Stegostoma tigrinum: one gene and its partner. The protein of the gene in region 1 interacts with the protein of each later gene in a pairwise test. Links are inferred from orthologs where the notes say so. Each region holds a gene or a part of one and is shown on either strand. Other genes may lie near its edges. The genes, in order: txn2 and rbm45.

What was found.
Region 2: the proteins of txn2 (region 1) and rbm45 interact in binary tests that used the Homo sapiens proteins (3 or more experiments, as listed by UniProt). The two-hybrid records come from large-scale screens. The link is inferred for Stegostoma tigrinum from reciprocal best matches to the Homo sapiens genes TXN2 and RBM45.

Annotation. Positions count from the first base shown.
Region 1 is NC_081391.1:3,477,777-3,494,460, reverse strand, and holds the start of txn2 (thioredoxin, mitochondrial), read left to right. Parts: upstream 1-8,341; 5' UTR 8,342-8,551; exon of another isoform or gene 8,552-8,598; intron 8,599-8,955; exon of another isoform or gene 8,956-9,239; intron 9,240-9,612; exon of another isoform or gene 9,613-9,684; intron 9,685-12,209; coding exon 12,210-12,487; intron 12,488-16,684.
Region 2 is NC_081360.1:44,822,940-44,839,075, forward strand, and holds the start of rbm45 (RNA-binding protein 45), read right to left. Parts: upstream 7,927-16,136; 5' UTR 7,852-7,926; coding exon 7,576-7,851; intron 1-7,575. UniProt on the Homo sapiens protein: RNA-binding protein with binding specificity for poly(C). May play an important role in neural development.

The DNA of each region.
Region 1 (16,684 bases):
ATCTCTTTCTTTGAAATTTTTTGATCCCTTCCAAGTGCAACGTTCTAGATTTCTTGAGGCTGGGTGAAATTCCTACAGGAATTTTCCAGACAGTCACTGAATTATACTCTCAGCCACCTCTGATTGGTCTGTCCTTTTTTAACATGAGCAAAAACGACATATCTTACTTGAAAGTTCAATATCTCTGTAAGTAATTTTTGCTATGATTCATTGTCATGAGAAGGGGTCAAGCGCTGGTCATTGATAAACTAGTAGCCAATGTGCTCTGATACTGGTTTGTCACTTTGGTCCATAGTCTTAAATTTTACATCAAGGTAAAGAGGCAGTTTGTCAATTTTGTTTTGAATGAAAATATGCAGTAGGTCTCTGCTCTGGTGCTAAGTCCCCCACTTTAAAATGGTAGTCTGATGATGGTGTTTACTAAGCACTGATTTTCAATCTTCAGACCCTGAGTGAAGATATGTATGTCAAACCTTCTTGGTTCTCACACTCAGTGTATTTCTTGCATCGACAGCATAACCTGCAGTTCCAGTTTATTTACTTGGGAGGGGATCTACAGATATTTGCAAGAGCTACTTGTCTTTTAACAGGAACAAATAAGGGTCTGGAGCATAGGTGCTGCCAGCTGCTGTATTTTCAGCAGGAATGGCTGTGAATGTCCAGGAGTTATTGTTCAGAAATCTACATTTCCATCAGTATGTGTTTGCATAGCTGGGGGTGGAGAGCATGTGGGCAGCCCAGAGCAACTAGAGCTGAGAATGTACTGGATGTTGGAGGAAGGGGCCAAATACCACTGAAAGAGCTGGCACAAAGCATGTTCCTGAGAAGCATCCAACACATTGCTAAAACCATCAAGCTCCTCAAGAATGTGTTACCTAGCTCAATTCTAATTGGCACAAGCATGTGAGCCATTCCTGTCTGTGTTGATCCCTTTCATTTTGCCAGAAATTCTTGCCAGTACAAGTCTCCAAAACATCCCACAGGAGGCTCAACCCTACTTTTGGACCTTTCTCTTGGAGATCCCTTCTGTGTCAGCTGAGGGGTTTCCTACACGGATACTCTCTTATGTTCCCTCAACTTCCTTGATCGCATTAGATATCCAGACACAGTATAACATAATGCCTCATTGTCCAGAGGAGACAGATCCTAGATGGAAGCCTCTCTTTCTGGAAATGCTACCATTGTCACATAACAGGTTTGGGATAGAGAGTATTACGTGGGATCCCTGGTTGCCTGTAACTTCCATGGCTTGGAGAAGTCTGTGTTTTAGTTTTACATGGAACATGTGAGCTTGCAGCCCTCACTCACTATTTTATGGGGGTTTCTCTCAATTTCTGATTTCACTAGTAAAGAAATTCATTTCCAGCATTCTGTGAAAATGTAATGATGATGGAACGACTTAGTTCCAAGGGTAGCTGGTTGGCAGAATTCAATTGTGCCCTGCAAAAAGGGAAGTGTTTCTTACAAGTTTTTTGGAAGGTCACTCAGAATAGTTCAGAGGTCACTAAAAGCAGCTCTGGGACACTCTCTAGATGTACCGAAACTGGGTATTCCATGTTCAGAGTGCTGAATAGCTGTCTTACGTAAAGATGTTAAAAGCAGTTGATTAGCTGGGTGGTCAGGGCTGAGAAGAAGTCATGGAGAGCTGAGAGAGTGACAAGATCATTGGGTCAGTGTTGGGGTAAACTATGAGGGCTTGGAAGAAGCCTGCAAGAAGTAGTACTTCAGTGCAGCTAAATGATTGAGGGTTAAATAGCCCTTGAATTACCCCTAACCCCATGCAATCTTACCTTGCCTATTAACCTTTTGTGTGGCTCTTATCAATTGCCTTCTGGATGTCCAGATATATTATATCCATGAGACCCCCATTATCTACTTTTGTCATTATGTCTTTGAAAAACTCTTAGCTAATTAGTCAAACATGCTGACACTGATGGTTTACATTTTGACTTTCCAAATGTCCTGTTATTACTTCTTTAATAATGGATGCTAACAAATTTCCCAAAGACAGACATTAAACTAATTGATCTATAGTTTCTTACAAAAATAGAAACAAAGAACTGTGGATGCTGAAAATTGGAAACAAAGACTTCTGGAATAAGATTTGAGCCTATAACCTTCTGACTCAGAGGTGAGTGTGCTAGCTCTAAATTATGCCTGACATTTAATCCAGCCTTAAAACTACAAGTCTGAACACAGAGATAACGAGGTATAGAGCTGGATGAACACAGCAGGCCAAGCAGCATCATAGGAGCAGGAAGCTAGAAGGGTCTAGGCCCAAAACATCGGCTTTCCTGCTCCTAAAATGCCTACTGTGTTCATCCAATCTACAACTCGTTATCTCAGATTCTCCAACATTTGCAGTTCCTACTAAGTCTGAACACAGGTCCAGTGAGACTGCTAGTCCAGTGACACTATCAAAGGCTATTCTCTCCCCAAAATCTGTCTCAATTTTCTCTCTATCTTCATCAGGTTATCTACTCCAACGGCAGCCTGTCTGTATTCTGAGATTACAAAGTGTGAAGCTCGATGAACACAGCAGGCCAAGCAGCATCTTAGGAGCACAAAAGCTGACGTTTCGAGCCTAGACCCTCTAGCTCTGGTTGCTGTCTGTATTCTGATGTGGGTTCAAAATAACGTACATCAATGGCCAATGGAAGCTTTTCCTGAACTGTCAGAGTTGGATGAGCAACAACTTCACCTTTGATACTATCCAGCAGCAGATAGATAGCAGACATGGCTCAGTTGGTAGCACTCTCTTACCTCTATATCTGAAGATCATGAGATCGCGTTTTACTATAGAAACCTAAATACAAAGTCAAGGCCGGTCCTCATGGAATGCTGAGGGAATGCTATACCATCAGAGGAGCTGTCTCATTTAAACCAAAGCCCTACTTGCCCTCTCAGGTGGATACAAAAAAAATCCCATATCCCCATCTCAAGGACAAATGCCCTGTCCTAACTTCCTGACTCAGAGGCAAGAGTACAACTAAAAAGGTACAGCTGGCATGTTATGCTGCTGCTTGTGGAATTGTGCTGTGCATCAATCAGCTGTAACTTTTCCAACAATACTGCAACATCTACACTTCAATGAAAAAATGTTTAATTGGCTATGTACTGAGGTCATGAAAGGTACTATATAAATACAACTTCCTTGATTTCTCTGCAGTTCTTAGTGCCAGACAACAAAAGCTTTCTGACACATACATCAGCATTCGACATGAGTAAACTTCTTTTTAAGAACAGTAGCTGTTGCTGTCTTAAGCTGTGGGAAGATTTGGTAGGTTAGAAAACTACATGTTATGGTTGGTGTACTGAGAGAAAAAGGCGCAGACTAAAGAGTGAGGCATGGAATGTATGGAAGAGCTACTGAATTCCTAAGGCCAGAAATGTTGCTTGGAACTGACAGGTCTATACAAGACAACTAGACAGAAATCAAATTGATGTATCTGTTCTGAATGCAGTTCTCAGTTAACCTGATTTATAGGATGAACTGCACATAATACAAATGTTTAGAATTAATTTAGTTTACTTATAAATATTTATAAATAAACACATATATTAATCTATTTATATACCTTTATATGATCTTGAGACTTGACCTGGATGAAATCACAGAATTATTATGGCACAGAATAAAGTTTTGGAACAGAGTTCATCTTCTGTACAAGGGCTCTTCAGGCACAGCCCCAGGGCTTCTGTGAGGTGTCCTTCTTCTGGGTACAGCAATAACGACCCTGCCAAGAGTCCACACTTCAAGCATACCCCAACAGAGGTCCCCACTCCAGGCACCGCATCTGCCACAAGTCCCTGCTCCAGGCACTGCTATTGCCGCTAGTGATGACCTGCCAAGTCCACGTATCCAAGCTACACGTCTTCCACGGATAATAAAGTGTGAAACTGGATGAACACAGCAGGCCAAGCTGCATCTCAGGAGCACAAAAGCTGACGTTTCGGGCCTAGACCCTTCATCTGAGATGCTGCTTGGCCTGCTGTGTTCATCCAGCCTGACATTTTATTATCTTCGATTCTCCAGCATTTGCAGTTCCCATTATCTCTGATGCAGGTCTTCCACTGTCTGGTGTCCTTGCTTTAGGCACCGCAACTGCTGCAACCAAAGACCTGCTGAGTCCACGCTCTGGTCCTACTGCAGCCATAAGTCTTCACTCCGGGCACTGCCACCCCGCAGCCAATGACCGGCCTAATCCATGAGTCCACACTCCAAGCCACCCACAGCCAGGATTCCTTGCTCCAAGCACTGCCGCCCCTGCAGCCAATGCCCCACCCACACTGTTCCAGCTTCCCCACGTTGTTAGAAGATGAAAAGAAAAAACGGGAAAGAAAAAGTCCAAAAAGGATGGAGGGAGAGAAGGATGCAAATGGCCTGGAGCGTACGGGATCAGGAGACTGAACACTACCTACTTTGCCGACACCACCGTACCTGAAGACATGTCATTGTATAAATATATAGGCATAGATTGGGGAATATCTGTTTCATGATATGGAACAGAAGAGGGGAGAATCAGCAAACAGATTTGATTGACCTAACAATTTGTGGTTCTGGGTGACTGGGATTCTGCTAGGGGCTGTTTCAGAGTCATTTAATTTTCTCTTGGAATTCTCCTACTGGGGGATCATTTGATTCTCAAGGGCACCTTGCGTACTGACAGGGAATGCAATGTGAAACTGAACCATGGTTAGTACCGCTGCCCAGAACCTGGGTTCAATTCCACCTTTTGGTAACTTTCTGTGTGGAATTTGCACATTCTCCTTGTATTTGCATGGGTTTCCTCTAGGTGCTCCAGTTTCCTCTGACAGTCCAAAGACGTGCAGGTCAGCTGGATTGGCCGTACTAAATTGCCTATCCAGGAATGTGCAGGCTAGGTGGACTAGTCAAAGGAAATACAGAGTTACAGGGATAGAGTCGGGGGGTGTGGATCTGGGTGGTATGCTCTTTGAAATTTCAGTATGGACTCGATAGACTGAATGGCCTGCTTCCAAACTGTAGAGATTCTATGATTGTCTTTAGTACAAACTCCCTATGCATTTGTGGTGAGACACAAACAACATTAGCAAGGGGTGTCCTCAATACAGTCTAGGTAGAAAGACATGGAAGCTAAGGACTCAGGGAAATAAACAGTGATGTCTTGAAAAGATAACAAAGTGTGGGGCTGGATGAACACAGCAGGCCAAGCAGTATCTCAGGAGCACTAAAGCTGACGTTTCAGGCCTAGACCCTTCATCAGGGAGGGGGATGGGGAGAGGGTTCTGAAATAAATAGGGAGAGAGGGGGAGGCGGACCAAAGATGGATAGAGGAGAAGATAGGTGGAGAGGAGAGTATAGGTGGGGAGGTAGGGAGGGGATAGGTCAGTCTGGGGAGGATGGATAGGTCAAGGAGGCAGGATGAGGTTAGTAGGTAGGAGATGGAGATGCGGCTAGAGCTGGGAGGAGGGGATAGGTGAGAGGAAGATCAGGTTAGGGAGGCGGGGACGAGCTGGGCTGGTTTTGGGATGCAATGGGGGGAGGGGACAAGCTGGGCTGGTTTTGGGAAGTCCACATTACAGAAGAAGAAATGCTGGAGACCTTAAAATGCATAAAGGTAGATAAATCCCTGGAACCTGATCAAATGTATCCCAGGAAATTGTTGGAAGCTTGGGAGGAAATTCCAATGCCCTCAGCCGAGATATTTGTATCATCGATGCTCATAGGGGAGGTGCTGGAAGACTGGAGGATGGCAAATGTTGTGCCTTTATTAAAGAAAGGCTGGAAGGAAAAGTCAGGTAACTCAGGCCTGTGAGCCTGATGTCAGCGATAGGTAAGTTGTTGAGGGGATTCTGAGAGATGGGGCCTACATGCATTTGGAAAGGCAAGGACTGATTAGGGATAGTCATCATGGCTTTATGTGTGGGAAGTCGTGACTCATAAATTTGATTGAATTTTTTGAAGAGGTGACCGATAAGAAAGATGAAGGCAGATTTGATTTGATTTGATTCATTATTGTCACATGTACTGAGATACAGTGGAAAATTTGTTTTACGTGCTAACCAGACAAATCATACATCCAGGGGTACAATCAGTATAACAGAACAGAATGCAGAATATAGTGTTACAGCTACAGAGAAGATGCTGAGAAAGATTAATTCTAATATCAGAGAAATCCATTCATAAGTATGATAAGCGCGAGGAATAAGCTGTTCTTAAATTCAGTGACACATGCTTGCAAACTTATCTATCTTCTGCCCAATGGAAGAGGGTGGAAGAGAGTATGACTGGAGTGGGAGAGGTCTTTGATGATGTTGGCTGCTTTCCCGAGACAGAGGGAAATGTAGACTGAGTCAATGGAAGGAAGTCTACACGGTTTTTAGCAAGTCTTCAACAAGGTTCAGCATGGTGGGCTGGTTTGTGAGGGTAAATCACATGTGATCCAGGGAAAGCTAGCCAATTGGAATCAAAATTGGGTTGACGATAGGAGGCAGTTGGTTGTGGTACAGGATTGTTGTTCAGACTGGAGGTCTGTGATCACAGTGTGATGCAAGGATTACTGCTAGGTGATGAATGTTGTTCATCATTTATGTAAATGATTTGGATGAGAATATAGTAGGCATGGTTACAAACTTTGCTGGCATATCACCAGCAAAAATTGGTGGTATAGTGGACGGTGAAGAAGGTTGTTGTGATTCGTTGGCTCAACGAGCTAGTTTGTTGTTCCGCAGATATTTCATTGCCCTCTTGGGTAACATAATCAGTGCAGCCTCTGATGAAGTGCTGTTGTGGTTTCCCACCTGTCATTTAAACTCTGGTATCCGTTGATCTGGGTTACCTCACTTCCGGTTTTCCTTCGCAATGGTGTGTATACAGTGTCTAGCTCTAAATGTTTATTAATGGCTTTCTTAGTGGAGAACCAGGCTTCTAGGAATTCCCGTGCTTGTCTCTGCTTCGCCTGTCCCAGGATCCCGGTGTTGTCCCAATTGAACTGGTGGTATTGAAACAGTTACCCTGCAGGGTAATGAAACGTCTGTGGAATAACGAGCCAGCTTGGCAAGCGAACAAACCACAACATCCACAACCTCAGCCACAAATCTACTCTAAAACCTTAGTGAAGAAGGTTATCTAAGAGTACAACGGGATCTTGATAGACTGGGCCAGTAGACCAAGAGATGGCAGTGGAGTTTAATTGAGATAAATGTCGCATTTTGGTAAGACAAAACAGGGCATGACTTTACGTTTATTGGTAGGGCCCAGGGGAGTGTTGTCAAATAGGGAGACCTAGGGGTGCAGATACATAATTTCTTGAAAGTGGTGTCACAGGTAGACAGGGTGATGAAGAAGACATTTGGCACATTGAGTACAGGAGTTGGGATGTTATGTTACAACTGTACAAGATATTGGTAGGGCCACATTTGGAGTAAAGCGTACAATTCTGGCCACCCTGCTATAGGAAGGCTGTGATTAAACTGGAAAGGGTGCAAAAAGGATTTACTAGGATCTTACCATGACTGGAGGGTTTGAGTTATGACAGCCTGAATAGGCTGGGACTTTTTTCCTCTGGAGTGTAGGAAGCTGAGGGGTGAGGTTATGGAGTTTTATAAAATCATGAAGGGCATAAATAAGGTGAATAACCAAGGTATTTCTCTCAGCGAAGTCCAAAACTAGAGGGCATAGATTCAAGGTGAGAGGGGAAGAATTTAAAAGGATCCCCGAGGGACAACTTATTCATACAGGTGGTGTGTGTGCATGGAATGAGCTGTCAGAAAAGTGGCAGAGGTGAGTACAAGCACTTGGACAGATGCATGGATGGAAAGATTTAGAGGAATATGAGCCAAATGGGACTAGATCAGTTTAGGAAACCTGGTCGACATGGGCATGTTGGGCTAAAGGGTCCGTTTCTGTGCTGTATGACTCTATGTGAGTCACTTTAAAATCAGCAAATGTGTTTAAATAAAGTACTTCAGGTACTGAACATCACAAATAGTACTGGGAAATATTGTACTCAAAATGTTAACTCTATTTCTCTCTCCAGATGGTGACGGACCTGTTGAGTTTCTTCTATTTTTAGACTAAATGAAGATGTTATTAGTTAGCTCTGGGCATTTGTATCTAATGTGTAAAATGACAAGTCATTTCCACCCTATGATTTTGTTTTAGCAGCTTGTAGTTGTTGGGCACATCAATATAATTTGTAACTGTCTAATAAGCCACTCGAAGACACTGCAAAATCAAAGCATCAGCCACAAGGGTCAAAGCAGCAGAGGGCAGTGGGCGGGGTTGGATGACACACCACGTGATACTTAACACCGCCCACGAGATCCTTTACAAAGATGATGGTCACCTCTCTCCTCCCCAATCTCCTTTGTATCTCAGTCGACCTCTGCCCACCTTCCCCCCATTTACAAATCGAAAGGAGCAAACTGTCAGCCCGGTCCATCCCTAAACAAAGGAACTACTTGGATTCTCCAGCATCTGCAGTTCCCATTATCACTGATACATCTGCGCAGTTGCGCCGATTCCAATATCGTGAAGAAACTTGGGAAACAGTTTCCAGGACGTGACGTAAGTTAAACCGGAAGGTACTTTGGCCTCGTGTGGAAGCTGGAGAGGTGAGAGAGAAAACGGAAAAAGAATAAAAATTCGGAGAGGGAAGAGAGCGAGAAAAGTAATAAAAGTCTTATGGTGGGGGCGGGAGAGAGAAGTAAATGGGAGAAGGTGGTATTGTGGTAATGTAATTGTCTAGTGACCTAGAGGTCCAGGTTAATGTTCTGGGGACTCTGGTTAAAATCCTGTCATTGGCAGCAATTGGAATTCAAATTCAGTTTACAAGGTCTGGCATTGAAAGGTGGCCTTTGTAACGGTGGCTATCGTAGATTATGTAACAATCACGGACTGTCATAAAAACCCAATCCATGTCCTTCAGAGAGGGTAAATGAATTGTTAACCTTGCCTGCTTTGACCTGCACGTTTCTCCAGTTCCACAGGAAAATGATTGACTTTTGAATGCCTTGAGGGTAGAGAACATACATAAACCTGGTGTAGTGTGTGCGTGGAGAGAAACTCAAGGAGAGGGACAGATAAGGCCTTTGTTGGTTTGTAGAGAAAGTTAACAATTACCTGTAGATGGACTACTGTGGCAATAATCAGTGTAGGAGTGTTAAATATTGATTTCCAGCCTATTGGATTTGTAACTGTCAGCTGGGATGGTCTTGGAGTGGGAGAAAAATGTTGAATCCAGGATGCATGTGGGGTGAGTCAAATTGCTTCTTGCTCCTTCATTGTAATGCAGTGACCCTCTGTGAATATCTGCTGAAGATGTAATGTGATTGGAATTCCTGTAGCCAATCAGACTGGCTTGCAGTCACTTTGAATAAAGCAAGCTATAAAATAAGGTCTGACGTGGAAATGTGCAGCTACCAGAAAGCAATTTTCAGTGCTATTTGAGAGATCTCAGATACCGAAGCTGCCCACTGCAGTAAGACCAGGACAACATCCAGGATTGGGGCCAAAAAGTGGCAAGGAAACATTTGTACCACACAACTGTCAGGCAGTAACCATTTCCAATAAGAGAAAGTCTAACTTGACATTCAATGCCATTACCAGCACTGCGTCTCCAACTATCAACATCCTGGGGGTTATCATTGAATAGAAACTGAACAGGACTCTCCACATAAACGCAGTCCCTACAAGAGCAGGTCAGAGTAACTCACCACATGACTCCCTGAAGCCTGTCCATTATCTACATAGCACAAGCCAAGAATATGATGGAATATTCCCTGCTTGCCTGGATGAGTGAAGCATGACACCATCCAGGGCAAAACGCTGCTTGATTGCATCATTATTAACAAACATTCAATCACTCTATCACCAATGTTTGTAGCAGCAATGTGTACTGTCTACAAGATGCCCTGCAGAAATTTGCTAAAGATCTTTAGACAGCATCTTCCAAACCCACAACCACTATCACAAGGGCGGAAGATAAATGGGAGCAAGACCACCTTCAAATACCCCTTCAAGCCACTCAGTATCCTGACTTCACTGTCTTTCCCCCTATCCCAACAGCATTGTACCTATAGCATATGGATTGTAGTAGTTCAGGAATGTGGCTCATCAACAGCAACTCAAGGACTGGCAAGTGCCCACGTCCTACAAGTGAATAAATGAAGTGGTTTGTTTCTGGGCGTCTGTGACACTTTGGGCACACAGGCAGGTCCAATTATTTGCCAAACCATGACAAATTGCTTTCTTCCCAATAGGTTGAAAAACTCAGTAGGAGCAAGGTGGCCCATTGAACAAACTCCCTTTATTGAGTTTAGCAAAAAACAAGCTGAATCCTTGATAGAATCATCAGATCCCTACAGTGTGGAAAGATGCTATTCAGCTCATTGAATCCACACCGCCTTTCTGAAGATCATCCAACCTAGGCCTTACCTTTGCCCCATAACCCTCCATTTTCCCATGACTAATCCACCAAGCCCACACATTTCTGGTCACTATAGATAATATAGCAAGGCCAGTCCACCTAACCTGCTTATCTTTGGACTGTGGGGGGAAACAGGAGTACCTAGAGGAAGCTCACTCGGACACAAGGGAGCATGTGCAAACTCCACACAGTCACCTGAGGCTGGAATCAAACCCGGGTTCCTGGTCTGTGAGGTAGCAGTGCTAACCACTGAGCCACCATGCTGCCCCAATCTGTGGCATCATCATTTTTTGGTAGACCAGTGTGTGGTCTGATAATAGGATGTTCAGAGAGTGGCTGCTTACTCTAATCGCTGTATGATGAGCTGTAATGCTAGTCCTCTGCTCTTTGTTCTTTGTGCGTTACAAATTGTTTGTGCCTGACTCCCTTTTAATACAGAAATGAAGATGAAATCTTTTCTGAGGGTTGTTGGAATGCAGCATTCTCTTCACCAGAAGATAGAGGAGACTGGTTTTATTTTTGATTGAAATTTAAAGATCTCGTGGGGGGTGGTGGTGAATGATGTACATCTCATCTGAAGTCCCATGTTCTTATCTCTCTGAACTTAGTCCTGTGCAATTGCTGTAGTATGTCTGTGATATTTAAATGATGATTAGAATTAATCCATGTGATCTGCTTGATTTTTGTTTTCTCCCTCAATGGAATATTCTTGTCCCTGCAAGACAACAGAAGCTTCAAGCTTCAATAGAAATGCCCTGACGTGAATTTGTACAGGCTGTGGAAGCACTGTTCTCTTATGACTGATGTAACTTTCCTGCATTGTAATAAATCCTATTGATTGGCTAAGTCCCTGGTCTGATCTTCTGCTGTTCTAGGTTGCAGAGACATTGATGATTTGCACTCTGCTGGCGTCCTTAGCTGGGATAGTATTAATTCATTTCTAGGGAGCAGCTACATATAAATACAAACTGAGTTAAACCATTCAACCCCTTGAGATGCTACCACTATCGGGTGCCCAGAATATTTCATCCATGTGTGCTGTTCAGAAGAGGCAAACTATTTGCTTTCAGTCACAGTTAAGTCCAGTTCTGTCCTTGCTTAGTCTCCACGTATAGACACTGGTTGCCACTCACTGATTGTCTCCAAACTGGGGCAATGCTAATATGGCTTACTGGGTGGTGTTCATAGCCAGAGGCTCTGGTTTCAAGCCCAACTTTGGGAATAGTTGACCATAGAAGGAACATTCATGACTTGGTTCATTGGGCTTATAGTCAGACTAGTAATTCTTCCAACACATCCCCACTATTATCAAAACAAATGTGTGAAGGTACAACACAAGCCTGTGAATATACTGCATTCTACTGGAACACTACCACCTGCAAGTCCTACCCAAGTCTCACGCCATTCTGATTTTGAACTTTATCACCGTTCCCTCACATCTTCCCAGCAAATGGAGTGATGTACTAAGCACCACATGGATTGCATTTTCAAGCATGCAGCTTTTAACTCCTGGTCTAACCAGCACTGCCCGCACCCTATGAAATAAAAAACAAGATCTAATTTGAGACACAATTTGCCACCAAGCAGGTATATTATCTGTGAATGTCACTGGTCAGGATGGAACATTGCTTGTTGCATGGATTGATACCGTTTATTCAACAGTTGTGTAATGCTGTCATTCTGATCAATTGAAAAATTGACTGGACCTTATTTAAAGTGAGGTAACTGGAGGCTGTTGCTGTAGTTCAACATTTAAAATTGTCTGCAGGTTCTGACACTAACAGGCTGCTTTTACAGATGGCTCAAAGGCTCTTGCTGAGGAGACTCATCTGCCCAAACCTGAGGAAATCCTGTGGCTCAGTGTGCTCTCCACCCTCAGCTTTGTTGCCCAGCCTGAACACACTCTCCTGGCATAGCCACAAGCCTTCCTTCATACATCAAGCAGGTTCACCTTTCTCCAGAGGGTTTTGTGATTCTCCAGCCTGTAGTGACACTTTCAATGTACAGAACAAGACAGATTTCACTGACCGAGTTCTGAACAACAAAAAACTGGTTCTGGTGGATTTCCACGCAAGGTGAGTTGACTTTGTTCCATTTCTTGATGGGTTTATGCACCTTCATCACTACATTTTGGGCAATGCTTGACAATGTGGTCATTGCCTAAGTGCAGTGGTCTGCCCAGAGGTAATGTGCTGGTGGGCTTAACCGAGCAGACCAATGTTAGTGAGAGTTGAGGGTGACTTCAGTTTTGTGAAGAGAAACCGTTGGTCCTTTACTGCTGTCATAAAAACCTTGAAAGATTTTAAACTTTTGTTAAATTTTTTCATATCCACCTCTGCTGTAAGGAGGACATCAGCTTTTTTAGTTCTCCAAAGAACAAAGAAAATTACATCACAAGAACAGGCCCTTTGGCCCTCCAAGCCTGCACCAACATCCTGTCGCAACTAAAACCCCCTACCCACCCTTCCGTGGACCGTGTCCCTCTATTCGCATCCTATTCATGTAAAACTTGCCTCATATATCACCTTTAAACCTTGCCCCTCACACCTAAACCTATGCCCCCTAGTAACTGACTCTTCCACCCTGGGATAAAGCTTCTGACTGTCCACTCTGTTCATGCCCTTCACAATTTTGTAGACCCCTATCAGGTCACCCCTCAACCTCCGTCATTCCAGTGAGAACAACTCAAGTCTGTCCAACCCTTCCTCATAGCTAGTGCCCTTCATACCTGGCAACATCCTGGTAAATCTTTTCTGTACCCTCTCTGAAACCACCACATACTTTTACTAGTGTGGTGACCAGAATTGAACACAGTAGTCCAAATATGGCCTAACTGAAGTTCTATAAAGCTTCAACATTACCTGCCAATTTTTAAACTCGATGCCTTGTCCGATGAAGGCAAGCATACCGTATGCCTTGTCGACTACCTTCTCTACCTGCGTTGCCACTTTCAGTGACCTGGGTACCTGTACACCCATATCCCCTCTGCCTATCAGTACTTTTAAGGGTTCTGCCCTTTACTGTATATTTTCCAACTGGATTAGACCTTCCAAAATGCATTACCTCACAATTTCTGAATTAAACTCTTATCTGTCATCTCTCTGCCCGAGTCACCAACCGATTTATATCCTGCTATATCTTCTGATGGTCCTCATCACTATCTGCAATTCCACCAACCTTTGTCATCTGCACATTTACTAATCAACACAACTGAAGATCCTCATAAGCCCCTTTTGCACCATTCTAAGAACTGAGGATCGTTCAGAGACTTGTAAAATGAACTAAATTTTCCAAGACTTTTTTTACTGAGAATCAGGGATTGGAGAAGTTATACAGCCAAACAAAATAGAAGCACACCTTTCAGTTCAACCAGTCCATGCTGAACATAATCCCAAGCTAAACTAATCCCACCTGCCTGTTCCTGGCCCAAATCCCTCCCAACCTTTACTATTCATGTACTTACACAGGGCTCTATGCCTCTTTAAGTGAGGGAAGCAAAACAAGGCAATGTCTCAGCCAGCAGTCCACCCCCTTAAAAGCAGCCAGTCAGAGCAAGATTGATCCCAGGAGCGAGAAAGACAGGATCAATGAGGAACTGCTGCTGAGCATGGCTCTGGGCTAGATTGCTGTCAGCTGAGGTTGGTGGGGTGGGGTGAAAAGAGGAGATGCTGTAAGAGAGGGACAAATGATGCACTTCTCAAGGGAGTCAAAGAAGGAGCTGCAAGGTGGGCGGTAAAGAAGGAAGCTCCAAAAGGGTGGTTGGAGAAGAAAGCTGCAAAGAACAATGGAATACTCAATTATGTGTGAACCAGGAAAAGTTGAAATCATTGAGGTAATGAATTAATTGAAAATAAATGTGAAATCTCTAGCTTATGGCTGTGTAAGAACAGGAGACAAATGTAAAGGATGCTGTTATAGTCAACATGTCAATTGTTAAAATTTGAATTGTGAATGAGAGGTAGGATATTGTTAAGCTAGACAGGGTTCAGAAGAAATTTACCAGGATGTTGCTGGGAATAGAAAGTTTGAATTATAATGAGAGGCTGGATAGGCTGGGCCTTTTTTTCACCAGTGTAGGAGGTTGAAGAGTGGTTCGAGTGAAGTTAACTTTTAGAGGAAGCGGTGGATGCAAATACAATTAAAACATTGAAAAGACATTTGGATCAGTACATGAATAAGAGGTGTTTGGAGGGATATGGGCCAAGTGCAGGCAGATGGGACTAGTTCAGTTTGGGATTATGGTCGGTATGGACTGGTTGGACCGAAGGGCCTGTTTCTGTGCTATATGACTGTATGGCTCCAGGGATGGAGGCTTGCAAAAAATTTGAGGTTGCATTCCTTGGATCTAAGAAGCTTTGATGAAGATGTATAATGTTATGAAGGGTTTACATTGAATAAATAGAAACTGGTTTCAAAAGCTAAAGGATTGATGATAAAATGAAGCAGGTTTAATTTTATTTTAAGTTGATTGGCAAAAGAATCAGAGGCAACATGAGAAAAATGTTTATACAAACAATAGTTGTGATTTGGAATGCACTTCATTCCTGAAATTGTGGCAGATACAGATTTGAATGTGGTTAAAAGAAAATTGATGAGAGACTTGTGGGTTCAAATCTCACATCAAAAACTTAAACATTAGAAAGTGGTATTGAAGGAAATCTGCCCATTTCAGGGGCAGTCTTTGAAATCAGTTGTAAAACTAAGACCAATATTTATCCTCAACCAAGATCATTCAGTTAGTGTATCTGGTCATTAGCAACCACCCAAATACAAGTGTGATAATGTGCAAAATTACAGGGTTAATACCTCAGCAGTACTTAATTGACCATAACACTCCTTGGAGTATGCTGAGGGCAGGAAAAGCACAAGGTAAATACAAGTTTTTTTTTGATGTGGGCTCAGAAAGCAGTGGCAGGGCAGGTGAATCGTAGAATCCCTATTGTGTGGAAACATGCCATTTAGCTCAACAAGTCCACACTGATGATCCTCTGATGAGCAGCTCACCCTAACCCTGCACCTCCCATAGCTAATCCAAGTAGCCTATACATCCCTGGACACTACGGGCAATTTAGCAGGGTCAATTTGCCTAACTTGCACATCTCTGGACTGTGGGAAGAAACTGGAGCACCCAGAGGAATGTGCAGACTTCATACAAACAGTTGCCTGAGGTTGGAATTGAGGCCAGGTCCCTGGCGCTGTGAGGCAGCAGTGCTAACTACTGAGCCACCGTGGCTTCCCCAAAAATGACACTTTGGAATTGGATTGAGCAACACCTGCTAGGTAAATGGTGTCCCTTTTCTACTTGTTCCTGTTTTTTTGTGACTCACTTGACAGGAGCAGGGAGCTTTGTCTGAGACAGGGCAGCACAGTGGTTCACTGGTTAGCACTGCAGCCTCACAGCACCAGGGTCCTGGCTTCAATTCCAGCCTCGAGTAACTGTCTGTGTGGCGTTTACACATTCTCCCCGTGTCTGCGTGGGTTTCTGCCGGGTGCTCTGGTTTCATCCCACAGTCCAAAAATGTGCAAGCTAGGTGGATCGGCCATGCTAAATTGCCCGTAGTATTCAGGGGTGTGTGGATTATAGGGGGATGGATCTGAATGGGATGCTCCAAGGGGCGATGTGGACTTGTTGGGCCGAACGGCCTGTTTCCACACTGTAGGGAATCTAATCTAATTTAAAAAACACTGTTATCTGTGCACACAAAGCAAATGCTCTTCTAAAGTAGTAGATTGGTCATGAATTTCCATGTCTTATTTTCCACACCTGTTGTACACAGATTGAGGTGAGTGCTCATTTGTGCTGAGTTTAGTTTTTTTTTAATGTTTTGGGTTTGTACCTCTGAGGCAGAAAGCATGTCTGAACTAATCTGCTTTCCTGCAGCGCAGAAAGAGAGAAGGAGAAAGAGTCCTTTCAGCTGTAAAAGCTGGAATTTGATCCCTGGTCCTCCCCGGGCTATGCTTTCAAAAACTGTTTCTTCCAGGTAATGGCTATGCTGCTCCCAGATTTAACTGAATTTTAACCCTATATGGCATCACCTGAAAACTGTTAACCATGTTGAAAGTCAAACCAAGAACTGCAGAGCCATAGCTAAGGGGCTAAGAAAAGTCTAAATTTTTTCGGAAGTGTAGTAGTCACTGGTAATGTTGGTATTTATTGCCTATCAGTAATTCCCCTTCAAAGAGTGGCTGCGAATTGTTCCAACATAGTGTGCTGTTCAGTGGGGAGACCCAGGTTTCAACCCAATATCAATTCAAGCAATATATTTCTAAGG
Region 2 (16,136 bases), on another chromosome or scaffold:
CTTGTTATCATTATAAAGAAACATTTGAGCTTTCCTTTATTATACCTGCCAATGCTTCCCATTTCCCTACTGCACTTTTTATACACAGCTACAGCTGTATGAAGCCCTTGATGTCTGTCATTAGCCCTTTTTTCCCCTTCATTATAACCTTAAAGATGTTTGACATTGAGTGTTCTCGAACCTTTGTCCGATCACATCTCTTCAGGAAGATATTTGCCCTGTACTTACTCTATTTATTTTTCCTTCAACTCTTCGCAATGCTCTGACAGTTCTATCTGCAAGTCATTGCTTCCAGTCCACTTGGACAAATTATCTTAATTTAGTAAAATTAGCCTTCTCTAGATGAGAATTTTTATTCCTGGCCCCATTTTTTAAAAATATAATTGTCCTAAATCTAACAGAGTTATGGTCACTGTCTCCAAAACGCTCCCCTGCAGCCATCCCATGACATTCTTGACCCTGGTACCCAGGGGGCAACGTACCATTCTGGGGAAGCACATGTCTCCTCCCCTCACTAATAAATCCCCAACCACTTAAAGCCCTTCTACATTTCTTTCAACCCTTTGTGTCGCACAAACGCTAGGCAATGGCTACATACAACAAGAGAGAATTCAACCACCCTGACATTCAGTGGCATTGCCACTGAATTCCCTATTGTGAATATCCTGCGTGTGCGTGCATGTGGTGTTACAACTGACCACAAACTCAGCTGGACCAGCCAATTAAACACAGTGACTACAACGCTGGTCAGAGGCCAGGAATTCTGCACAGGGTAACGCATCCCTTATTTCTCAAATTCCTGTCCAGCTTCTACAAGGCACAAATGAGGATTGTAAAAGAATGCTCTCTACTTGCCTGGATGGTTGATGCTCTAACAATACTTAAACTTAACACCATCAGGGTAAAGCAGCTTACTTGGTTGGCACTCTATCCACAACATTCAATATTTATTCCCTTCACAACTGACACACAGCAGTGTGTAACATCTATGAGATGCACTGCAGCAACTCATCAAGGCTGCTTCAACAGCGCCTTCCACACCCATGATTTCTACCAGTTGGAAGGGAAAGGACGATAGCTTGCAGGTGATGTTCCTGTGCACTTTCTTTCCAAGTATCTCACAATCCTGACTCGGAGCTACATTGCTTTTCCTCCAACATTGTTGCATCAAGATCCTAGAAATCTCTTCTTGAGGGTGTGGGGCACCCACAGTGCTAAGTATTGTAGCAGTTCAAGGAGGCTGCTCATCATCACCTTCTCACTGAAGGTTTGAATGGGCAATAAAATGTCAATCTTGTCAGCAATACTCATATCGCTGAATGATTTTTTTTAAAGTAACAATTGTGTGTGACTTTTGCAAAATAAAACTCTATATAAGCTGCTCTTTTTATTATTTCTTCCAGTCCTTGGAGCACCTATTTCAACATAGCACATGGAAAATGCAGAAATGGCAAGATTTTAACAAAGAATATTTTAATGAATATGGTTAAACTGAAATCGAGATTTCCAATGGAAGAACACTGCCCAAAATCTATGTTTTGTTTTATTTATTCATCTGCTCTTGAGAAGCTGGTGGCAAGATAACTTCAAGAAGCACTCATTAGAACTTATTGATCATTGGACTCAAAACATGAACTTTGCTTTCTTCCTGTAAATTCTGCCAGATCAGCTGAGTTTCTCCAGCAATTTCTGCTTTTGGTTCACAATTCCAGCATCTGTAGTTCTTTGTTTTATCATTTAAAAATAAGTTTGTTTAAAATACCATAGATTGTAAAGCACAGGCTGTGCCTTTTAAATCTAGAACTTTAAAACAATAAGCAGATTGATAATCAAAACACAACGTGGGGTTTTATAAATGAGGACTGGAATGGCACTCTATTAGCTGTACCGATAAAACAATTTCCTTTACTAAGTGCAGACTGCAATAAATTTGAAAGCTCTGTGGAAAAAAGCTGGAAGACTCATTTTTAAAGTTTTATTTGTACTAAGTTGGTTTATTTCTTTTTCTGAACAGCTCATGTGGTGATGGGGCGATGATCACACATCTGTTACAATGTTTCTCTATAAAATTAGAGTATTTTTGAATTACGAATTGTTCTCCCTTTTAATTCTTTTCCAAACAACCTATATTTTTAAAGCAGAAAAAGCCTCAGGAATCACTTGATTTTCAGCAGAGATGTTTTGACAGCATACAGGGAGAAAATGTTCCCATGTTAAAGAATTAAGAATGAGAAAGCACAGATTTCAAGTAATTATTAGAAAAAAGTTAATATCAGTAATAAAACAATTGAGTGATTATGATCAGGAATGCACAGTCAGAAAGTCTGGAGGAGACATTTAATCAAAGCATTTAAAAAGGGAATTAGATGGTTTTTTGAAAATAAACAATTTGCAAGATAATGGGGAAACAGTAGGAGAATGCAACCAATGAGTGACAGATTTTGAGAAGTGGCACAGATTTGATGGGCTGAATGGCTTCCTTCTGTACTGTAAAATTTGTGATATTCCAAGCGCTGACCTTGTCTTAAACTGCTAAAGGGCCTAGTGTGGGAAAGTGGGACTAGTGCAGTTAGTAATTTTGGCAGTATAGACATGATGGACTGAAAGGCCTCTTCTTTACCGTATGACTCAGTCATTCCTAAGGTTTTGGAGTAGATCTGTGGCTCGAGTAGTGGGTGTTGAGGTTGGTTGGCTTGTCGAGATGGTTTGTTGTTCAACAACAAACCAGCTTGGCGAGCCAAACAGCCTCAAAATTCTTTAGTTCAATACCAAAAACTGTAATGAAACACTTGTTTTGTTATTGCAGTACGTTATTTACTTTTTTTGACAGAGACATATTCAGCTGTTGCTAAAACAACAACTTGTACCTATGGATTCCACATCTGGAATTAAATTTGTGACACCCTCAATGCCTTTTCCAAACAGCCCAGTTAAAAATCTGAGACTGCCTATATCTTCATATGCACAAGAGAATTTAAGTACAATAGAGTAATACAGCATGAAATATATAACTTCCTCCCATCATAACAACCTGGATGGAAGTGAGAGCTTGTTCCATTTCTCAGATCTTAGCACCTTATTTTGAGCAAAGCTGAGGCCAGGAGATTCTGGAGCCTGGCGAGACTAGATCATCATGTTCCATGAAGATGCCACCCCAACAGGCTGGAAGGTAGAGGGTAGATGGGTGGTAATGCAGACTTGCATGAAGAAATGCAGGAATTCAAGGTGTACCTCAATCTGCTAAACAGCATGGGGTTTTGATGAGACTCAACATCATGAAAAAAATATAGACTGGATCAAGGCACCAAAAGGCAATGGACTGCATAAAGGGAACAAAGGCCAAGAAAAGCAACCATTATAGGAAATTCCACAGATGGGGTTCAGATAGATATTTATGCAAGCCTGCCAATGTGTGGTGCCAGAATAGAGCCAAGGTAAAGGGCATTACTAACAATCAGATTTTCTGCAGCTAGGAAGTTAAAAGGTGGCAAACTGAAGTGGCTTCTCCCTAGGAAGATGGCTTTACGTATGAAGCAGAAGAGAGGACTTCAGATTATGAGCCTCCTTATTGAGCCTTGAGGCACCTACTCAGAAGAAGTGGGCTTTATCTCTGCAGAATCAGGTAAATTAGCATAATGAAGCAGAAAATGTCAACAGGAATAACTAATAATTCCCCTCAATGTAATCATATATTTGGACAGAGAACAAACAATAATTCAATGTATTAACTGGTGAGTAGACTTTCAGCTTCATATAGTTTGGCAAATAAAATTGGCATAGGTATTATGGAAGATGGCTCATGCTTTTCTGTATTTTCCTAGAATAATGTGTTGCGGAAACAATTGGGGATTAAGCTATTCCATATTTAGTTTTGAACTTTGAGACAGGATTAGCTTTTGCTTTGTTTACATGAACAAACGGAAAACGAGCAGAAGTAGACTATTCAGCCCAATGGGCATACTCCGCCTTTCAATAAAACCATAGTTGTGTTTTAAATTTCATATTTCCATCTACCCTAACATTTGATTTTTATAGTCTAACGTTAAATTACTCCACTTCCAGCACAGAGTTCCAAAGTCACACAACTCTTTTTTAAAAAAAATTCTCATCTGTCTTGAAAGGGTGACCCTTAAAACAGTGCTCCTTGGTTCTGGGCTAATCCAGAAGAGGAAACAATTTACCCATGTCCGCTTTATCAAGACTATTCAAGAACTCACATACTTCAAGTTACCCCTCACTCTGTTAAACTCAAGTGTAAAGACGACAAATCTGTCCAACCTATTTTCATAACGCAACGCACTTCAGCCTCAAACCTCGCCAGATCCAATTTCAATGCATTTCCACCCTTCCTCAAGTAAGAGGCCAAAAATGCACACTGCATTTGAGATGCAGTCTCATCACTATGCTGTGCAACTAAGGCATAACACTTAGTTTTTTATTCATTTCCTTTCATAATAAAAGGTTAGCTTCACGCTACCCTTGATTATATGCCGTACCTATGTTCTAACTTCTTGTGACTCATGGACCAGAACACCTAAATCCCTGTGCACCTTGGAGTTACACAGTTGTTCTTCATTTAAGCAATATTGTGCTGTTTATTCTTCCTGCCGAAATTTTAAAAAACTTTATACGTTTTCCTATATTATACTCTGACTGCCAAGTTTTGGTCCACTCAGAACCTGTCTCCACTTGCCTGGATAAAAGGGACTGCAGTCAAACCAGATTCCACACAAAGTTTGTAAGTGACCAATTCCAGTCTCAACAAAGAATTTCAGACTTAAATCCAATTACAGAAGTATGACAAGGAAGCTGGCAAAACTTGAAGATAAGCCCACAAGTTAAAAAAAAACAGGAAACAAAGAAATAATTCAAAGTGTTCAAGCAAGGGAATCACAGGAAAACAATGAAAATGAGGGACAAAGTTCAGAGTCTATAATTGCTGGACTTGATCAAAAGCATAATTTGCTGGAGAAATTCAGCAAGTCTGGCAGCATCTGTAGAGAGAAAGCAGAATTAGTGTTTCAAGTCCAGTAACCCTTGACTGGAACGAGTTCAGAAGAAGGGTCACTAAACTCAAAACATTAATTCTGCTTTCTCTCCATAGATGCTGCCAGACCTGAGTTTCTCCAGCAATTTGTTTTTGTTTCAGATTTCCAAGGTCCTTTTTTTTTGTTAGACACAATGTTGAGTTCAGAAAAAGTGTAAAGCAAAACTTCCCAAACCCTCTACTACTCATTGATCATGTTAACGTTGGAAAACTGCCAAGGTCCCATGGCAAGGAGTGGTGGCTGACATGCTATTTCTACCCGCCTTTAGTTGGGCAAAGTTATATTCAACTCAAGTTATTTTTTTCTTGTTCCACAGATAAATTTTCTGGGCCAGCTAAGTATTTCCGTCACTTAATGTAATGAAATAAACAGTTACTTTTCACAGGTCTGCACCTTCAAATGTTTGAAATCCATTTTGGTACGAATAACAGCAAAATGGACTATGTTTTAAATGGTAAAAAATTGCAGCAGGCTGCTGCGCAGAGGAACTGGGGTGTCCTTGTGCATGAATCGCTAAAAGTAGGATTGCAGGTGCTGCAGGTAATAAAAAGGCAAGGTAACACGAAATAGAGCTGGATTAACACAGCAGGCCAAGCAACATCCACTTAAGATCATGGCTGATTTTTTTTTGAGACTCAGCTCCACTTACCTGCCCACTCACCATAAACCTCAATTCCTTTACAGTTCAAAAATTTATCTAGCCTTGCCTGAAAAACATTTAGCGAGGTAGCTTCAACTGCTTCATTGGACAGGGAATTCCAGATTCACAACCCTTTGAGTGAAGAAGTTCCTCCTGGCCTCAGTCCTCCATCTGCTGCCCTTTATTTTGAGGCAATGCTCTCTAGTCCTAGTCTCACCTGCATGCGGAAACAACCTTCCTGCCTCCACCTTACCCATTCCCTTCAAAATCTCAGATGTTTCTATAAGACCTCCCCTCATTCTTCTGAATTCCAATGAGTATAATCCCAGTCTACTCTGTCTCTCCTCATAACCCAACCTTCTCAATTCTGGAATCTACCAAGTGAATCTCCTCTGCACCTGCTCCAGTGCTAGTATATCTCTTCTCAAGTAAGGAGACCAAAACTGCACACTATTATCTCTGATACAATTAAAAAGGCAAATGGAATTTCATCTGCCATTGCTACAGGGATGGAGTTTAAAAATAGGGAGGCAATGCTGCAGTTGTATAAGGTCCTGGTGAGGCTACACCTCTGGAGCACTGTGTGCAGTTTTGGAATTCAGGAGAATGAGGGGAGATCTTATAGGAACATATAAGATTATGAAGGGTATAAGATAAAGTGGAGGCAGGGAGGTTGTTTCTGCCAGGTGAAATTGGGACTAGAGGGCATTGCCTCAAAGCAAAGGGAAGCAGATGTAGGACTGAGGTCAGGAGGAACTTCTTCACCCAAAGGGTTATGAATCTGTGGAATTCCCTGCCCAGTGAAGCGGTTGAAGCTACCTCACTGAATGTTTTTAAGGCAAGGTTAGATAAATTTTTGAACAGTAGAGGAATTAAGGGTTATGGTGAATGGGCAGGTAAGTGGAGCTGAGTCTCAAAAAATCAGCTATGATCTTATTAAATGGCAGGGCAGACTCGAGGGGCCAGATGGCCTATTTCTGCTCCTAGTTCTTATGCTCTAAATATTCACCCTCGCTTATCTAAATCAGGTATTTCCATTTCCTCAGGACGATCAGGGTTCATATTCGGCCATGTACCATTAATGAATCTGAAATAATGGGAACTGCATGGAGAATCCAAGATAAACAAATCTCCCCTTCCCCCACCGCATCCCAAAACCAGCCCAGTTCGTCCCCTCCCCCCACTGCACCACACAACCAGCCCAGCTCTTCCCCTCCCCCCACTGCATCCCAAAACCAACCCAGCCTGTCTCTGCCTCCCTAACCTGTTCTTCCTCTCACCCATCCCTTCCTCCCACCCCAAGCTGCACCTCTATCTCCTACCTACTAACCTCATCCCACCTCCTTGACCTGTCCGTCTTCCCTGGACTGACCTATCCCCTCCCTACCTCCCCACCTATCTTCTTTTCTCTCCATCTTCGGTCCGCCTCCCCATCTCTCCCTATTTATTCCAGAACCCTCACCCCATCCCCCTCTCTAATGAAGTGTCTAAGCCCGAAACGTCAGTTTTTGTGCCGAGATGCTGCTTGGCCTGCTGTGTTCATCCAGCTCTAGACTTTGTTACCGTTAATGAATCCCTCGCCTTTTCTCTCTCTCTCTCTCTCTCTCTCTACTCAAAATATAATTTCGATTTTGCTAAAATAATGGAATCGAAACTGTGGTCTAAGACTTTTCAAGACTACAACAATTTAAGTCCAACTGGTTTTGGCTGCAACATAAAATCTTAAGATCTTACAAACAAGGATCAGAAGGCTATTAGTAACCAGATTAACATGCTACAGTCTCACGGGGGTTCCCACCTCATTAACTCGGGCCCATGATCAGGTGCGGTCAGAGTCGAAAGCGAGCTCCGCATTTAGCAGAAACGAAGGTGGCAGTTGTAACATACCTTGATGGGTTTGGTGTCTTCCGTCAAGGCCTTGCCGTGCATCTCCTCCATCGCTCTACAGGCCTGCGACGATTTGGCGAACTTTACGTACGCGATGCCCTTGTGATCTTTGTTCTGTTTGTCCCGCACAACCCAAATGTCCTGGATCTCACCGAAGAAAGAAAAGTTTTCTCGGATCACCTCCTCCGATGTCGATTTGCTGATGACCAGAAAGAGCCGACTGTTAGGCGGGTGATCGAGGTTTGCCATTGGACGCGAGCTTCCACTATCCTCCATGATCGCGAATCCAGCGCATACACTGCGACCACCAACCGCCAGCACGTCACGTGACACAAAAGAACAGGTTCCGCCTAACTCCGCTTTTAAGTTCCGGTCCGCCCCCGACGGGGACACGAAATAACCGGCCCCGTCCCATTGGTGACATACCGGATCTGGTCCCGCCTCGCTTTGTGATGCGGAGGAAGTAGCCCATGCCGCAGAGTGACTCCAAGGAATTGGGCCCGCCCCATTCCGTGATGCTGAGGAACTGGACCCATCGCACTCTGTGAAGCTGAGAAATAGGCCGTCGCATCTTGTTTCTGAGCTGCACTGATCTAATATCGAATGGTGGAGCAAGGAGACCTTTTTTATCGTTACCTGTTCAAGTATAAATCAAGGAACGGAGATTGTAAACATACGAAAAGAAATTTCAGCCTTTAGCATCACTCAATATTTAAAGCTTCCACGCTTAAAATAAGCACCTAATAAAAAAGTGTGTTGGCGACAGTAGCTGGGGATCAAGGTGGGAATTGTTGGCTGGACAGCGAATATTGCTCAGATTGGTGTCAACAGTACAGGATTCAGTCTCTCTTCCAGCTCTTTTTTGGGGGGGGGGGGGGGTCGGAGGTGTTGCAGCCAGCACTGTGAATTGGACCAATAGAGAATTCAGAAAAAATAGTCTGTGCATTTATGATACAACCTTGCCACACATGAAAACAGTGCTTTTTAATCGAGAATCTATTATTTATCACATTATCACAGCTATAACTTGTCTCCTTTAATATCTATAAATCTTCACCCTTTTTGTTGCCTATTTAAAATTGCTAACTCTAGTCACCTGTATACTTGTACGCTAACAGATTGGAACCAATGAAAAGGATATGCAGTACAGAAGATTAGTATGGATATGAAAAATGAATAGTTATGATGATAAAAATGGTTTTCACTACTGCGAAAGAAATCGTTAAGGGAGGGCTGTAGGAATAGTCAGAAGCCAATCAGTTTTTCTAGTCTATGATTGAATGAAACAATGATTGATCTGTATTCACTCAACAAGATTTCATTTCTCTTAACGCCATCAGCTCTCGACCTAAAATTTAAAATTATTAATTGAACTAATATTGACTGCTTTCTCCATTGCATAAAGAAGTGTTTCCTGTTTTCTTTCTTGAAAATTTTTGCTCGCAGATAAGGATACATGATAAGAGATTCCCTTAGCAGTGATCTTATCCCTTTAAAAATCCTAAAATGTTCAATCATGTTCACCATAAGTGTTCCTATATCAATGTCATCTCTCAGGCCAATATGCACAGTATCAAACCACTGGTTACAATCAATCAGTTGTGTAGGGCAGACTACATTGGCTGAATGCCTGACACACAACAACCAAAAGAAGCTTTCTAGGCATCATTATACAAAGTGGTTACCAACAGGACAGACGAAATGCTTCAAAAGTGTCCTCAAAGCCTTCTGGAACAACTCTCCAAACAGCATCCTATTCCCTGTAATACCATTTTTACCATGGCTGGGTGACCCTGGACACACTATGTGGCAATTTAGTATGGCAAATCCAGCTAACCTGCAAATGTTTGTACTTTGGGAAACAGCAGCACCCAGCAGAAATCCATGCAGACACATGGAGAATGTGCAAACTCCAGACAGACAGTCATCCGAGCCTGGTACTGTGTCCCTGGCAGTGTTAACCACTGTGCCATCCCAATATCCCCAATAAATGCATGGGAAACTCTAATCCAAGACTGTCCAAACTGGAGGAGGTTGCCAACCATTTCACATATTTCCAACAAGCCCAGATAGAGGTCAAATGCAAAAAGCATGCAAAAATCTGTGAATCACACCCATCTGCTTCAGCAAACACCACGTACTCCATCTGCAGTAGGATTTGTGGATCTAGCACTAGACTATTTTATTAGGACTGATAACGCTGGAGTTCAAGAAAGTCTTCCTTGATCCCGAGGGACTGCCTAAGAAGAACAAAAGAATACAAACTTAGTCCCTTGTCATAATCTAGGAATATCTTGGTGCTCTGTACTACAGTCTAGAATGTTAATATGTCCTTTTTAAGGTGTACTCTACAGAGTTATACACACTGTGCCAAAAAGGGCTTTGTACAGCTATGGCAAATGTTAGTCACCTCTTGTCCCTTCAATTTACTTAAACCTTCATTTTTTCATGTTATTAATGACACATAAGTACTTAAATATGTTCCTTCTCATTCAAAAAAGATTACTTCTCTCCTATCTGTGTTTAAATCTATCTGCCAATGTTTTACAATATCCTCATCATTGCTTTGTAATGCTATATTCTACATTACAAATTATGCCGCTATTCTGTGTTGTTGGTAAACTTACACGTATGGCCCTGTAGTGTGTTATCTATGCCATTTATAGTGAATAATTGATGAATGAGTACAAAACCTTCTGAAACAACTTTTGAAGTGCTGTCTGGAAACTTTTAGGGAGTATAGCTCAGTTAAGAACTTAGAAGAGGTGAGATCTACTAGTAATGTCAGTAATAGTCTTTTGCTTACTTCCACGTGACTTACAGCAACGTTGAACAAATTTTCCAATGTAAACATCAGAAAAAAATCACCAGTTTGAACATGATTTCGAACTGAGAGCTCATGGATGTAACTTAATGACCAACATCTGTTGTTTTTAGATCTTTCTGTCAAACATTTCACACATACCAATTAGTCAGTCATGTGAAAAATTATAGCCACTAGATATCCCCCTGCCAAATACAGTAGTTACTTCCCAAAAAAATCCTTTAGGTTCCTTAGACGTACCTTACCAAATTCAAGCTAACTCTTTAAAATCTTTGTTCCAGCCTTGTAAAAACCAAAAGCGTTCTGAGAAAGGGTGACAAGACCCGAAACATTAACTCTTATTTTTTTTTCACAGATACTGCCAGACCTGCTGAGCTTTTCCAGCAACATGTGTTTTTGTTCCAGCCTTATCTCTGTTCTTAACATTTATGTATCTGATTCAGAATGTATTTGGTTCAAATGTCACTCCAGGACATGAGTACAGAATTCAAGACTGACACTCCAGTCCAGTACCAGAGAGTAATTACTGGACTATGTGAGATGTTGCCCTTGGATGAGAGAATAAACCAAAGCTTTGTCTGTTCTCATAGGTGAATATAAAATATCTTATGTTACTACTCTGAAAAATATTTTGTGAATTATTCGAGATATTGTGGCCAATATTTATCTTCAGTCACAAAAACAGGATTTTCTGGCAATTATCGCATTGATTTTTGTGGGACTTTGCTGTGCACAAGGAAGAAGATGCTGTCTTTGTCTTCAACAAGGAAGAAGACATTGTATATCATGGGTTAAGACAAGATAGCTTATACACTTAAAGATTTTAAAATTGATAAGAAGCGGTGGCATGGTGGCTCAATGGTTACACTGCTGCCTCACTGTATATAGGCACCTGGGTTCAGTTCCAGCCTCAGGTAACTGTCTGCATGGACTTCCTTTGAGTGCTCCAGTTTCTTCCCACTTTCCAAAGATTTGCAAGTTAGGTGAATTGGCTAATTTAAATTGCCCATAGTGTCCAGGGATGTGTGTGTTGGGTGAAATAGCCATGGGAAATGCAGGGTCACTAGGATAGGATGGGGGTGTGAGTCTGGGTGGGATGCTCTTCAGAGAGTCAGTGTGGACTTGTTGGGCTGATTAGCTGTTTCCATGCTGTAGCAAGTCTATGATTCTAAGAACATACTGGATAGGCTGTGTGTATTTAAACTTTACCACGCAGCAGGTCAGATGTCATACATCCAAAAATACTCAAGTGAGAATGGAAACTCTGAAGGCACTAGACTTAATTTTCCAATCATCTTTACACTCAGGGGTGATATCAGAAGATGCAAGAATTGCAGACGTTATGTCCTTGCTCAAAAGAGGGAAATGTAAGCTCAACCAATTACACCTTGGCAATGGGAAAGCATTTAGGTGTTTTTAATCAGCCTATTCAGGGATGGTATCATACACATCTGGAGCAGGTGGGTCTTCAACCCATGCCTCCTGGCTCAGAGGGAGGGAAACTATCATAGGGCAAATGCAGGTCAATTCAGGGAAACCAGCTTGTTTACAGAAGCTGATGTTTAACATCCTTGAGTTTTTTTCTGCCCTTGGGTGAGTCGCTGGAGGGGAAGGATGACAGCATTAATTGCACACTTAAGCATGGGAGGATTGTGCATGAGCCGTGCTGCCATGAATTTAATCAAGGCTGACACAAGAAAGCAGTGGTGTCAGCAAAGCCCACCACCAAAATCAACATGTGGAATGACCAGCAATCAAAGAATATGTATTTAGGTACTTGACAAAAGAGCCCAAGATGATATGAGAAAATAATTACAAAGCTGGTGGCATGACCTGGAATATATTGACTGTGATGCTTGTGGAATCAAGTCCAATAGTAACGTACAAAGCTACTTGATAAATATGTGAAAAAGAATAATAATTTTGGGAAATGGAGAAAGAGCAGGGTAGTGGGACTAATTGACACTTTGGTAATTTTGATAGGAAACCATGAGTGTTTGACATCATTATTCCATTTGAAATTAAAAATAGCTTCAATATTAACAAGTACAGATTAACACCGAAGTTGAGAAATATCATTAACTGTTGTGCCACAGGCTGTGCTGTGCACACTCAAGCCCCACAACACGAGTCAGAGAACTCTGTGAAATGACTTTAACTGCTGCTTTTGTCCTCTAATATCACTGTATTCAAATAAGCGTTATTCAATAACATCTGTTTCTTAACGGTGTTCTAACTGATAGTAACTACTGAACAACAGATTTTTCTTAAAATACATAATGTAAAAGACTCCATTATGATGCGTTACTGAATTTACCAAACTACATGTTTCGAAAAATTGACGTTTAAAAAAAACTTTTCCGCTCTGTCACTATGTTTATTCCGATTTTTATTTCTCTCTAGTAACCTTGAACATGCTTCGATTATGAATGCTTTTCATATCCTCGCTGGCTGTCAGTGAGAATTATTTAGTACGACTGGCTGATTGCACAGCTTTAATGACACAACTGCAACTTTGTTCTTGGAAGCCCTGCTAAATCATGCCAAAACGAGGTGCTCATCGGGAGAGGTGAAAATAGGGAGGATTTTCTGTTCACCCAAATTGGGCAATTTCACATATATTCACATCAGATCGCTCGGTAAGTCTTCCTTTGAGGTCATCGGGTGAGCATGTTTACTTCGCTGCTGAGCACAAAATCTGTGCCTATTTAGTTGTGCGCAATCTGCACCGCCAATTCCCTCTATCCCGCCTTTTCCTAGCTACAATTAATTCTGAAAAGGATCACTGGACCCAGAATTCCGTCGCTAAGCCTGACCGCTACCCCTCTGCATTCAGGTACTCCCTCAAGTGTACGTGTTTGCTCACAAGTCCTTGCCGCTCTGATAACAGTGCAAGCTTCCGGTTTCTGAAGCCTGTTCGATGAATGAACGAAGAGATGAATGAAGGGCAAGTGCTGTGACGTTGTAGTCCAGCACGTGCACGCGCTTGCGCACAACCTGCCGCGTGTCGATCGCGAGACTGTTGACGGTTACAGCCCGCCTTCGGCTGGTGGAGAGCGAAGTGAAGGCGTCCCGAGGGGTAAGTGCCTGCTAAACAGCCCACCCCCATCCTCTCCTTAGCCCATTCACCGCTACTGTCCTCCATACAGGGCCCCGTGCGTACCCCAGGGGCGGGTAGAAGTCGTGGACGCCATCGGGTGAGTGTCCGCTGGAGGGGTAGTTAACATCGTCGGGGCTATGGATAAGAGTTTTGGAGACAATGTGGATAACTTATGGCTGGCAGCGAGCAACAGGTTTCGAGATGGATGTCTCAGGGAATTGACGTGAAATCGGAAATTCGCTACCCTGTGAAAGCGCGCAGCCTGATCCAGGTTAAGAAAGCTGTCAGGTGGGTGGTGTGAGCTGGGACTTGGGGCTGGTCATGGATGCGAAAGGTGCGCAGTTTCTGGTGTGGTCAGAAGTCAAAGTGAACAATGGAGTAGAAGTAATTTTCTGAAACGCTGTTGATTTTCCTTACCCTCCAGAGAAGCTGATGGAGAAAAAGGATTTATCATGGACTAGTAAATGGGGTATGCTCAGTGTGGTCCATTTGACAGTGGTTGGAGCAACTGGTTATGTGCTTGGATACACTTGAGCCTGTGGCTGTCAGACCTGAGGGTTTAAAGATGGAAACATATCCCTGAGAATGTAATGGTTGCGAGGTGGTGAATGGCTTGATGGGGTCGAAGGTATCCAAAACACAAATGATAAAGCAAGACAACAGTGAAATGATGACAGGAAAGCTGGAAGAGGAGGAGTTGTGTGGAACAATGAAGTAAAGAGAAAGCAGCGGATAGAAGTTGCCTCCTGGGTGAAAGGCAAGAATTGAAGAATTCAAAAATTGGTGGAAAGGTGTATACAGGAAGGGAGATCAAAAATGCTAAATTTGCAATTAGGAGTAAACAAGCCATCTTTGGGTTGGAAGGCTATTTTTATGAGTTCCTTTACAGTAAATGGCTGTTGCTAGCTAAGTCAGCATTTACTGGCCACTGCTGACTGCCCTCGAGAAGTGGTAAACTGCCTTCATGAACCGATGGAGTCCATGTGCTCACAGACACCCACTGGTTAGGATGAAAATTCCAGAATTTTGACCTAGCAACAATGAAGGAACAACAATGCATTTCGAGGTCAGGACTGTGTTTGTTTTGGAGCAAACATGAAGTTTCCTGTGGTGTTGCTTCCATTCATCTGTTACCCTTGTCCTTCTAAATGGTAGAGTCGAGCCTTGGTGAGGTGATATATTGCATTTTGTAGTTAATATACAATGCTACTACTATGCTTTGGTGGAGGAGGAAATGAGGGAAGATGGTGTGCTAGTGTCAATCAAGCAGGCTATTTTGTCTGGGATGGTGTTGAAGTTCTTGAGTGTCGTTGAAGCTGCACGCTTCAAATATGTGCTGTGTATTTCATCACACCTCTGACTTGCAGCTTTCAAATGGTGGGCATATTTTGATGAGGCAAGATGTAAGTTGCTCACCACAGAATATCTCGCCTCTCACCTACCCTTATGTTTTAATGACTGGTTGAGTTCCGTTTCTGATCAGTTGTAAACTGTAGTGTACTACAAAAGCCAGTGCCAAGGCCACAGCTGTTCATAATTTAGATAAATAATTTGGAAGGGAGAATTAAATATAACATTTCAGATTTGCTGATGACACAAAACTAGCTGGGCATAGAAGATATCAAAGATAATGGGAACTACAGATGCTGGAGAATCTGAGATAACAAAGTGTGGAGCTAGATGAACACTATCTTCTCTATCCATCTTCGATCCACCTCTCCCTATTTATTTCAGAATCCTCTCCCCATCCCCCTTTTCTGATGAAAGGTTTAGGCTCGAAACGTCAGTTTTTGTGCTCCTAAGATGCTGCTTGGCCTGCTGTGTTCATCCAGCTCCACACTTTGTTATCTGGGCATAGAAGGTATCAGGACAAGCAACTAGAGTTCAAGAGGACTTGGATGGGCTGTAATTGGGCAAGATCATGGCAGACGGAATACAGTGAGCTGAATTTTACCACAAATTGGGTGAGTGTCAATTCCAGCGAGTTTCATGAAAGGTTACTCTAGTGCATTATCTCTCATAGTTCTCTGTAGTTCACCTCATTATGTATGTACTGTGGCTCGGCAATGGCAGAACAATCAACATTGCTAGGATTACTGGCACAAAATTTAAATTCCAGCCATGTATCAGATCAAGTGCTGCCAGCCAGCATATATATCTGTTCTGTTCCTAAGAAGAGTCATATCAGACTTGAAAAATCAGCACTGCTTCTCTCTTCACAAATGCTGCTAGACTTGCTGAGTTTCTCCAGCACTTTGTCTTTGTTATAGTTTATTTCTTCATGGGAATACCGTAGTGCTCTGTGTTTTTGCAACAATATGATGAATGGAGGCTGCACCAGGCCATATGTAATGGGCTATCACCATATACAGAACTGTTAAAGCAAATCAGAGTGTTTGCAGCACGCACTTTAGAGAGGAGTCTGTGTCTGAGTTTCATTACATATTGCAGAATGGCAGCCGAACCCCACCTCAGCATAAGCGCTGCTGTGAAGGTTACAGCAGCATTATCAACAACTAAAGCAGCATAACATGGTTATGAAATCAAATGGCAAGACTTCTGAAGGCTTAGGAAGTTACACGTAACACATGTTATGACCTCACCCTGTCTTTTTGCATCAGAATTTGCTGATATCCA